Cricetulus griseus: one gene and its partner. The protein of the gene in region 2 purifies or fractionates together with the protein of the main gene of each other region. This does not show direct contact. Links are inferred from orthologs where the notes say so. Each region holds a gene or a part of one and is shown on either strand. Other genes may lie near its edges.

Region 1 (4,199 bases), on a different chromosome or scaffold from region 2:
CTGGCTCAGTCCTTGGAGAATGCAGGTGGCTATATGGGAAGAACCTGCTCCAGGACGGTTCTGGATGTCAGGGGAATCCTTTCGGGGAAGATGACTTCAAATTCGATAACAAGGTCCCCACGTTTCTCAGGTGTCTTGGGGAGAGGGAGGCCTTCTCCAGGAACTTTCCGCCGCATGCCGGGCCTGATGACATCTTTGAATACAACAGGGATGGTCCTGCCGTCCAGAGTGGGGACATTTACAGTGCAACCACAGAGAGCCTAGGAAAGCAAAAGGACTATGTTAGATGGAAGCTGGCTTAGGAAGCTTGACTCCTCCAACATCCAGAGAGAAGGTTCAGGTCCACCAGACCCATGCAGCTGAGCTCCAGCCAGTCTCCCCCACTGCTCCTCAGAGCAGTCATCTCCTTTCATGATTCTCCCACCTAGTGCCTTACCTCCCGAAGGCTAATCCTGGCTGGATAGATGACATCAGAACCATCTCTCTTGAAGATATTGTGTGGCTTGTCCTTTAAAACAAAGACGATGTCAGCTGGAATGTTGTTGGAAGTCTGGTCCCCTTCCTTGGGAAAGGTGATTTTGGTCCCTTCTTTCCAGCCCCTCTTCACTTCAATGGTCAGGATCTTATCTTCATTTCGAATGCTCTTTCCATCGGGGTTCAGCCGCTTGTGGGAGATTTTCATTTTCTTGGTACAGCCGCTGTAGATCTCTTCAAGGGAGACCCGGAGATCGTGGGTGACTGGGGGATCTTGCTTCTTTCGGGCAGGCTCTTGGGCAGGGCGGGCACGTCCAAAGTTCACATTGGTGAAGCCACCCATACCCATTGGAAAGCCCGAGAATGGGTCATCGATGTCCATGCCTTCTTCCCCGTTGCGCTGCCCAAAAAAGGTATCAAAGGGGTTTCTGCCACCAAAGAACTCAGCAAACATGGCATGAGGGTCTCCATGGAATGTGTAGCTGAAGGAGGTACCATTAGCACCGCCACTGCTACCGCCACTGGGGCCACCACCCTTTAGGCCTGGAAAACAAAATCAGAAATCAGAGTTACTGTAGGAGAGTCAAGGCCCTTGGTTTCCATTTCTAGCACTGCAATAAATTAACACATTTACAAAACAAAATCAAGCCTGGCGTTGGGTGGTGTATGCCTTTAATCCCAGCACTCGGGAGGCAGAGGCAGGTGGATTTCTGTGAGTTCGAGGTCAGCCTGGTCTCCAGATCGAGTGCCAGGATAGGCTCCAAAGCTACAGAGAAACCCTGTCTCGGGGGAAAAAAACAAAACAAACAAACAAAAAAATCCCACCAACAAACCCATAAAATCCTTAAAATAGAAAGCCCAGACATGGTGTCGAATGCTTGGAAACCCAGCACTCCGAAGACAGGAGCAGGTTGATCTCTGCAAGTTCCAGACCAGCCAGGACTCCAACACGAGGCATTGGGGACGGCTCAGAAGTTAAGAGCACTTGCTCCTATGGCAGAGGAACCATGTTCGATTATCAACTCCCACACAACAGCAGACAACTAACTCCAATTCCAGGGGATTCAACATCCTCTTCTCTCGAAGCAAGTACACAGTGAACATACATACATACACGTACCCATATATATAGAAGTAAAAATAAAAGCCTGAACTACACAGTGCGATCCGGTGACTGTCATGTTATATAGCCCTTGAACTTGCTGAATAGTCCAGGTTAGCCTAGAGGCAATCCTCCTGACTCAGACATACCAGACCTGGGATTGTCACTACATCCTGCTCTTTTGGAAACAGGAGCTCATTCTGTAGCTCAGATTTGAAGCAAATTCACAACAATGCTTCAGCCTCCAAAGTGGGGTGTGTGAGCTCCCGCACCTGGCTCAACAAGTTTTGCTTTTAATAAAAAAAGCCCTGGGAACCGTAGTGGGAGGGGTTATATGTATTTTTAAGTTTGTTCTAGGTGAATCTCAAGTCTTTAACTGCCAATGGCAGCAGGAGCAGGAAACACATTACTCCCTTTCACTTCGTGACAATTCGGTAGTAAGGCCTGCAGCTGTCGGCGCCACCAGGTCTACTTGACAGCCCCATCCTCTCTGCCATGCTGTAACACCTTACAGAGAAGTTCCTACGCACTGCGGCCAGAAAGGCTCAGCTCAACTCTGGGTTAAGCGCTGAGCCTGCGGGTTAGCGGGCCCAGAGGAACAAACACTCGGGCGATTTTCAAAATCTCACACCCTAGCGATCGCGACCGCCGCCCTCCGTCTGCAGCGTTCGGGCGCTGTGCAGGCGGCCGGCCCGCCGGCCGGGAGGGGCTGCGGCAGACGTGCTAGAAGCTTCTGTGTGAGCGGCGGGCGCGCCCAAAGCTCCTCCTCCCGGCTGAGGCCGCCGATCAGAGGGCGGAGGCGGCACCGCCGCCGGATCCCCGGGCCGTCGATGCGGGGCCGAGGCCTCAGAGAGGCCCCGAGTGCCTCGGTTTCCCTGCCTGTCAAACGGCGGGTCACCCCCGGCCGCGCGCACGCGTACCTTCTTCTCCGTAGCGGTCGAAAATCTCGCGCTTGCGCGGGTCGCTGAGCACGTCGTAGGCCTCGGCGATCTCCTTGAACTTCTCCTCGGCGCCGGGCTCCTTGTTCTTGTCGGGGTGGTAGCGCAGCGCCTGGCGGCGGTAGGCTCGCTTGATCTCGTCGTCGGACGCGCCGCGGGCCAAGCCCAGCGTCTGGTAATAGTCCTTGCCCATGGCCACCGCCGCCCAGCTGTCGCCGCCTCCGGCTCCGCAGCTGCCCTGTCCCGGACTCTATATACCCGTCCGGCGGAAGCTTCCAGATCCCGCCAGCCCTCCAGAACCTTCCGCCCCTCCCGGCGCGCCGCGCCACTCGGGCCAATCGCTGCCGGCCGCTCCGTGACGCAGAACATCCGGGGTGGGACCCGGCAGCCAACGGCCTTCCGCGCGAGGCCACGCCCCTTCCCGCTCTACCCTGGTCAACGCCTCCCTGGGGCGCGCGCGCCCCTGCCTGAGGTCCCGCCTCCGCAGTGGAGACAGCCAATCGCGGCCCGCTCTCACTGCCGACTGGTGACGACGTGGGGAGGGGGCGGGGCTACAGAGGCGGGTCTCTTCCGAAGCCGCACCCTGTCCCTAGGTGAAGACCGGCTGGGCGGTCCTGCCCGGTGACTTGTAGCTGCCCGACCCGTCCCTCCAAGTTCCCTCTGCTGTCACCCAGGGATAAAAGTCCGCACCCCACCCTCTCCTGCCGGTTGCTCCGTACAGGCCGTTACTGTAAAGCGAGGTGAGGCTGGTCTGGCGAGGGATCGCCCCAGTCCGGGTACTCAGGCTTCCTTACTTCCTGCTGAGGAATTAGCCGGGTTCTTGGCGTTCCGGGTAGATGTCACTCACTTTGCTGTCTGAGTTCACCACCAGGGCAGACATTGGATTTTGCTTCGTGGCTGTGCATCTTTTTCAGGACCCACTAGGTGCTTCGTAAATATTTCCGAATGCTTTGACGTGGGCGCTTCTTGCTGTGGGGGAACAGAGCACCTCTGTTAATTGACTCTTTGGGTTTTTAAGTCTTGGATGATGGCGGTCAAGGACACAGCTGAGAGCAAAGGGGAGAGAGCTTCTGAAACTGCCAGGCTTAGAGAAGCGGGGGTAGTCGGTTTTGGTTCCTGCAGGGAGAGAAACTACCTGGAAGTCAGAGCACGAGCCTTGACTCTGTAGCCAGAGAGAGTAGGCTTCGTTCCAGATCCTAGTACTTCCTGGCTGTGTGACCTTGAATTGGTAAAGTAGCCGTTCTGGCCTCAGTCGTGCTCACTTATGAAATCGGAATGGCCGCTGTATATAGGAAGTTGACGTTACTCAGCATCTGTGAAAGTGCTCAAGAAAAACCAGGGACAAAGGGATGACTAATTGTCTTGTTTAGTGGATGACGCTGACACCTCCTCTCTGGCAGCCCTGCAGCGTCTGAGCCTCTGCTGAACCTTGCGTTGGACAGCCCGAGACCTGTGAGAAAGATGACCTTAGCCTTCTCTTGGTGGTCTATCCGGATGTGTGTGTTCTGGTTTTCCTGACCACACTGACCCCAAGAGAACTGAAAAGGGCTCTGTCTAAACACAGTTGAGCCCCTGCCCCCAAAATGGAATTGGGACTAGGGGATCCTTTAGCTCAACAGAGGATGTCCTGAACCAGTCACTTGGAAATATTCAATGTTACCTAGAGAAATAACAAGAGAGCTGGC
Region 2 (3,510 bases):
CATGGTTAAACTGAGCAAGTCTGCATTTTCTGGGTTCTGAGTAGTTGCCCTTCATTAGCCAAACTGAAAGAAGAAATTCCCTGGGCCAGATGCTGAAAGGGAAAAGAAAGTCTTGTTAGTTGCTCTGTGGATTTCCTCAGGAAAACCATGGTTGTTATAGAAGTCTTCAAGGACAGCTTAGTCCAAACACAGAGACTTCAAGGGCACCAAATCATCTGAGCCATGAGTGCAGGAACTAGCAAGCATGCAAGAAGCACCCTACCACTGGGCCGGAGTGCATTTTGTGTGTAGCTTCTGAATACCTTTACTCTTGTGGAGAAGGCTTGCTACCAAGGGACTTGGTGATGCATCTCTGACCCTGCCAAGTGCACTGAGAATGGTTCCAGGCAAGATAAGCCCAAGTCCCGCCTCATCCACACTAGAGCCCATAAGCGTCCTGTTGAACAAGGGGCCAGTGCTGGCTCATCACCTGGGAGCTCTCAAGAGCAGCAGGCATACCCACCTTCAAAGCTGAAGCCCCCAGGGCCACCGAAGAATGCCTTGAAGATGTTGTTTGCATCAAAATCTGGTGAGGAGCATGAAAGGGACAAAAAAGGGAAAAATCAGAAGGGTCCGATTTTCACTTCCTTTTCCATCATTTCAGCCTAGATGTTAACAAACCTCTCCCTGCCCCACCCCCAGACAGGCCTGCTGCTGACCCCAGCCAGTCCTGGCATGTTCCCTGCCCTAAAACTCAGGGCAGGTGCTGTCCAGAAGGAAACCTCCTCTGCTCAACATGCTCTGCCTACTGTCTCCTTACTAAGAAATGTCATTTGCACTATGCTGCCTTCCTGTAACACTGGGGCTATTACTGAGAAGCCTCAACTCTATCGCTTGAGTGACTCCAAAATCAACGTAGCAGACCTGGAGATCCCGACTCCTGGAACTAGCATGTGCTCTTTTCTTCCAGACCACACCAGTTCTGAAGGCTCCTGCCCTAGGTCATCTTTTTTTTGACAGCCTATTAAATAGTCTTATATCACTGGCTGACCACTTATAGGCTTCCCCTCTGGAGTGTCCCAGTTCAGCTGCCCAGAGGGCAGAAGCCTTGGTAACAACAACAGGGCCCTTTCTGGTGCTTTAGGGGGAAAAAAAAAAAACCTGTTTTGCAGGGACCCTCTTCATTCCAGGTGCCCAAACAAACTCACCGCCCATATTCATGCCCTCCTCATCCAGGTCCTGCCCACTGTCATAACGAGTCTTTTTCTTGGGGTCAGAGAGGATGGTAAAGGCCTCGCCCACTTCCTTGAACTTCTTCTCCTCCTCCTTCTGGACCTCGGCACTGGCCCCACTGTGCCGATCTAGAGGATTCAGTGAAACCAGGGTCACAGAAAAACAAAGTCTGTTTATGTCCAAGTCTGGAATGTGGCACCTCCCACAATGTGTAGGACAGAGAGCTCAGCAACCCCTTCTTCCCACTGAAAAGCACGTCTCCTAGGTACCCACTGTATCTGCCCTGTGAGTTCTTCCTGTTGCTCCTGTCTGCAGAGCTCACCTGGATGGTGCATCAAGGCCCGCTTCCGGTAAGCTTTCTTGATCTCATCCTCAGAGGCATTCTTGTCAACTCCCAGGATCTTGTAGTAATCTTTCCTCTTGCTCTTCTTCAGTTCCAGCTGTGCGTTCTTGAGGAGCTGTTTGTGTTCTGGAGTGAGACAGGTGGCATCAACAGACAGATCCAATTGCTTCCCTTGCTGGGTCCCAGCCCAGCTGCCCAGAGGGTAGAGAAGCCTTGGTAACCACAAAAGGGGCTTTTTTGGTGTTTTCTTCTGAAGACAGAGGAAGTGAAAATGACAGGCAGGAGCTAGAACCAGAATACAGGTGCCTAAGTCCCCACCCAGGAACTACTGATTGCTTTCAGGCTAGTGATCAAATAAGCTCCAGGTCCATCCTAAGAGCTACATCAAATACTCCCAATTTTACATTTAGGACCCAGAAGACCACAGCTCCCTCAGTCTGATGACCCTCTTGTTTTCATACCTTTTGTTTTCTCCGTCTGATACACTTTTTCATAGTCCCGCACAGCTTCTTCATACTGCTCTGTGTCCATGTAACTGAGAAGGAAGTACAGGGTAATACAGCACTCAGAGACAAAGAGCAATGGACTGTGGGACCTTCTAGGGAGATGGCATGACTCATGTAAGACATACACGCTTTCGGCAGGATGTTTCACCAAACAGCAGAATCCCTTATCTAAAAAAAAAATTAACTTTCAGTTCCTCAAGGCAAAGAAGCCTCATGATTTTGCACCCAACCAGCAGTCCTCTGCTAGAAGCAGGCAGTGGCTAGGGAAGAAAGCTCTTGGTGCCTCATGAAACGTCATGTGAAAGCACCTACTTGATTATCCTGGACTGAAACATCAGAAAAACTGCCGTGAAAGAGCTTTGAAATCTTCAGTGCCACAAACATGCAGGGTCAGCTCCAACCCAGGGTACAAGTGGGGTTAGTTGAGCCACAGAAGGATTAAGGTCAGGGTGGAAGCTGCTGCTGATTGCTTCCACTAAGACAGTCAATCTCAGAGGTAGAGGGGAGATAGAGGGAACTTTCAACATAGTCTTGATTTGATTTCAGAAGCACAAAAGCAAAGAGGGATCCCTGGGCCAAAATGGGAGGACTGAAGGGAAAAGGCAGTGTCAGGACTTTGAAAGTATTGTTTCCCATGGAACTAAGTGGTATTCTTTTTTTAAAAAATTACTTATATTTATTTTATGTGCATTGGTGTTTTGCCTGCATGTATATCTATGTGAGGATGTCAGATCTTGGAATTACAGTTGTGAGTCACCATGTGGGAGCTAGGAATTGAACCTGGGTCCTCTGGAAGAGCAGCTAGTGCTCTTAACCACTGAACCACCTCTCCAGCCCACTAAGTTCTTATGAACCGATGTCACCAAGTCTGTCCCCTCCATCTAACAACAGACACAACATCTGCTAAGAATGGGAGGAGCTCACACAGCGTAGCCAGCTGCTACACACCTGAGAGTCAGGTGATACTTCCATCATGCCAGTCCATCTTTACACACATCAGCTTTGGAGGCCAGGGCAGGGAGACTGATACCAATGTGGCTGGCCAAAAAGAGGTTTGGCATCTAAGGCATCTCTGAATTTCTGGAAACACACTCATCTATGACTTTAAAAAACAAAAACACAATGCCCTACAGACAGAGGGTACTAGGAACACAGAGAAACAATTCACAGGACAAAGTATCAGATAATCTGAAGTAAAATAATTTGACATTCATTGCCAGGTGGTGGTGGTGCACACCTTTAATCCCAGCACTCAGGAGACAAAGGCAGGCAGAACTTTCAGGTCAGCCTGGTCTACAGAGTAAATTCCAAAACAGCCAGAACTACAAAGAGAAACCCTGTCTAGAGAAACAAAACAACAAATCTGATGCATGAGTAACCCTGACCTGATGTCTAGGCCTGTGCATAATCTTTTCTCATTCTGTAGTTGGGCCGGACTGGAACTTACAA

The links. The genes of interacting proteins can lie anywhere in the genome.
Region 1: the proteins of Dnajc7 (region 2) and Dnajb1 purify together in Homo sapiens (affinity purification with mass spectrometry; 3 studies listed by BioGRID and IntAct, with this or other methods). This does not show direct contact. The link is inferred for Cricetulus griseus from reciprocal best matches to the Homo sapiens genes DNAJC7 and DNAJB1.

Annotation. Positions count from the first base shown.
Region 1 is NC_048596.1:160,786,306-160,790,504, forward strand, and holds the start of Dnajb1 (dnaJ homolog subfamily B member 1), read right to left. Parts: upstream 2,811-4,199; 5' UTR 2,708-2,810; coding exon 2,497-2,707; intron 1,018-2,496; coding exon 437-1,017; intron 261-436; coding exon 30-260; 3' UTR 1-29. UniProt on the Homo sapiens protein: Interacts with HSP70 and can stimulate its ATPase activity. Stimulates the association between HSC70 and HIP. Negatively regulates heat shock-induced HSF1 transcriptional activity during the attenuation and recovery phase period of the heat shock response.
Region 2 is NC_048600.1:113,632,617-113,636,126, forward strand, and holds part of Dnajc7 (dnaJ homolog subfamily C member 7), read right to left. Parts: intron 2,091-3,510; coding exon 2,017-2,090; intron 1,682-2,016; coding exon 1,535-1,681; intron 1,341-1,534; coding exon 1,188-1,340; intron 566-1,187; coding exon 503-565; intron 93-502; coding exon 55-92; 3' UTR 1-54. UniProt on the Homo sapiens protein: Acts as a co-chaperone regulating the molecular chaperones HSP70 and HSP90 in folding of steroid receptors, such as the glucocorticoid receptor and the progesterone receptor.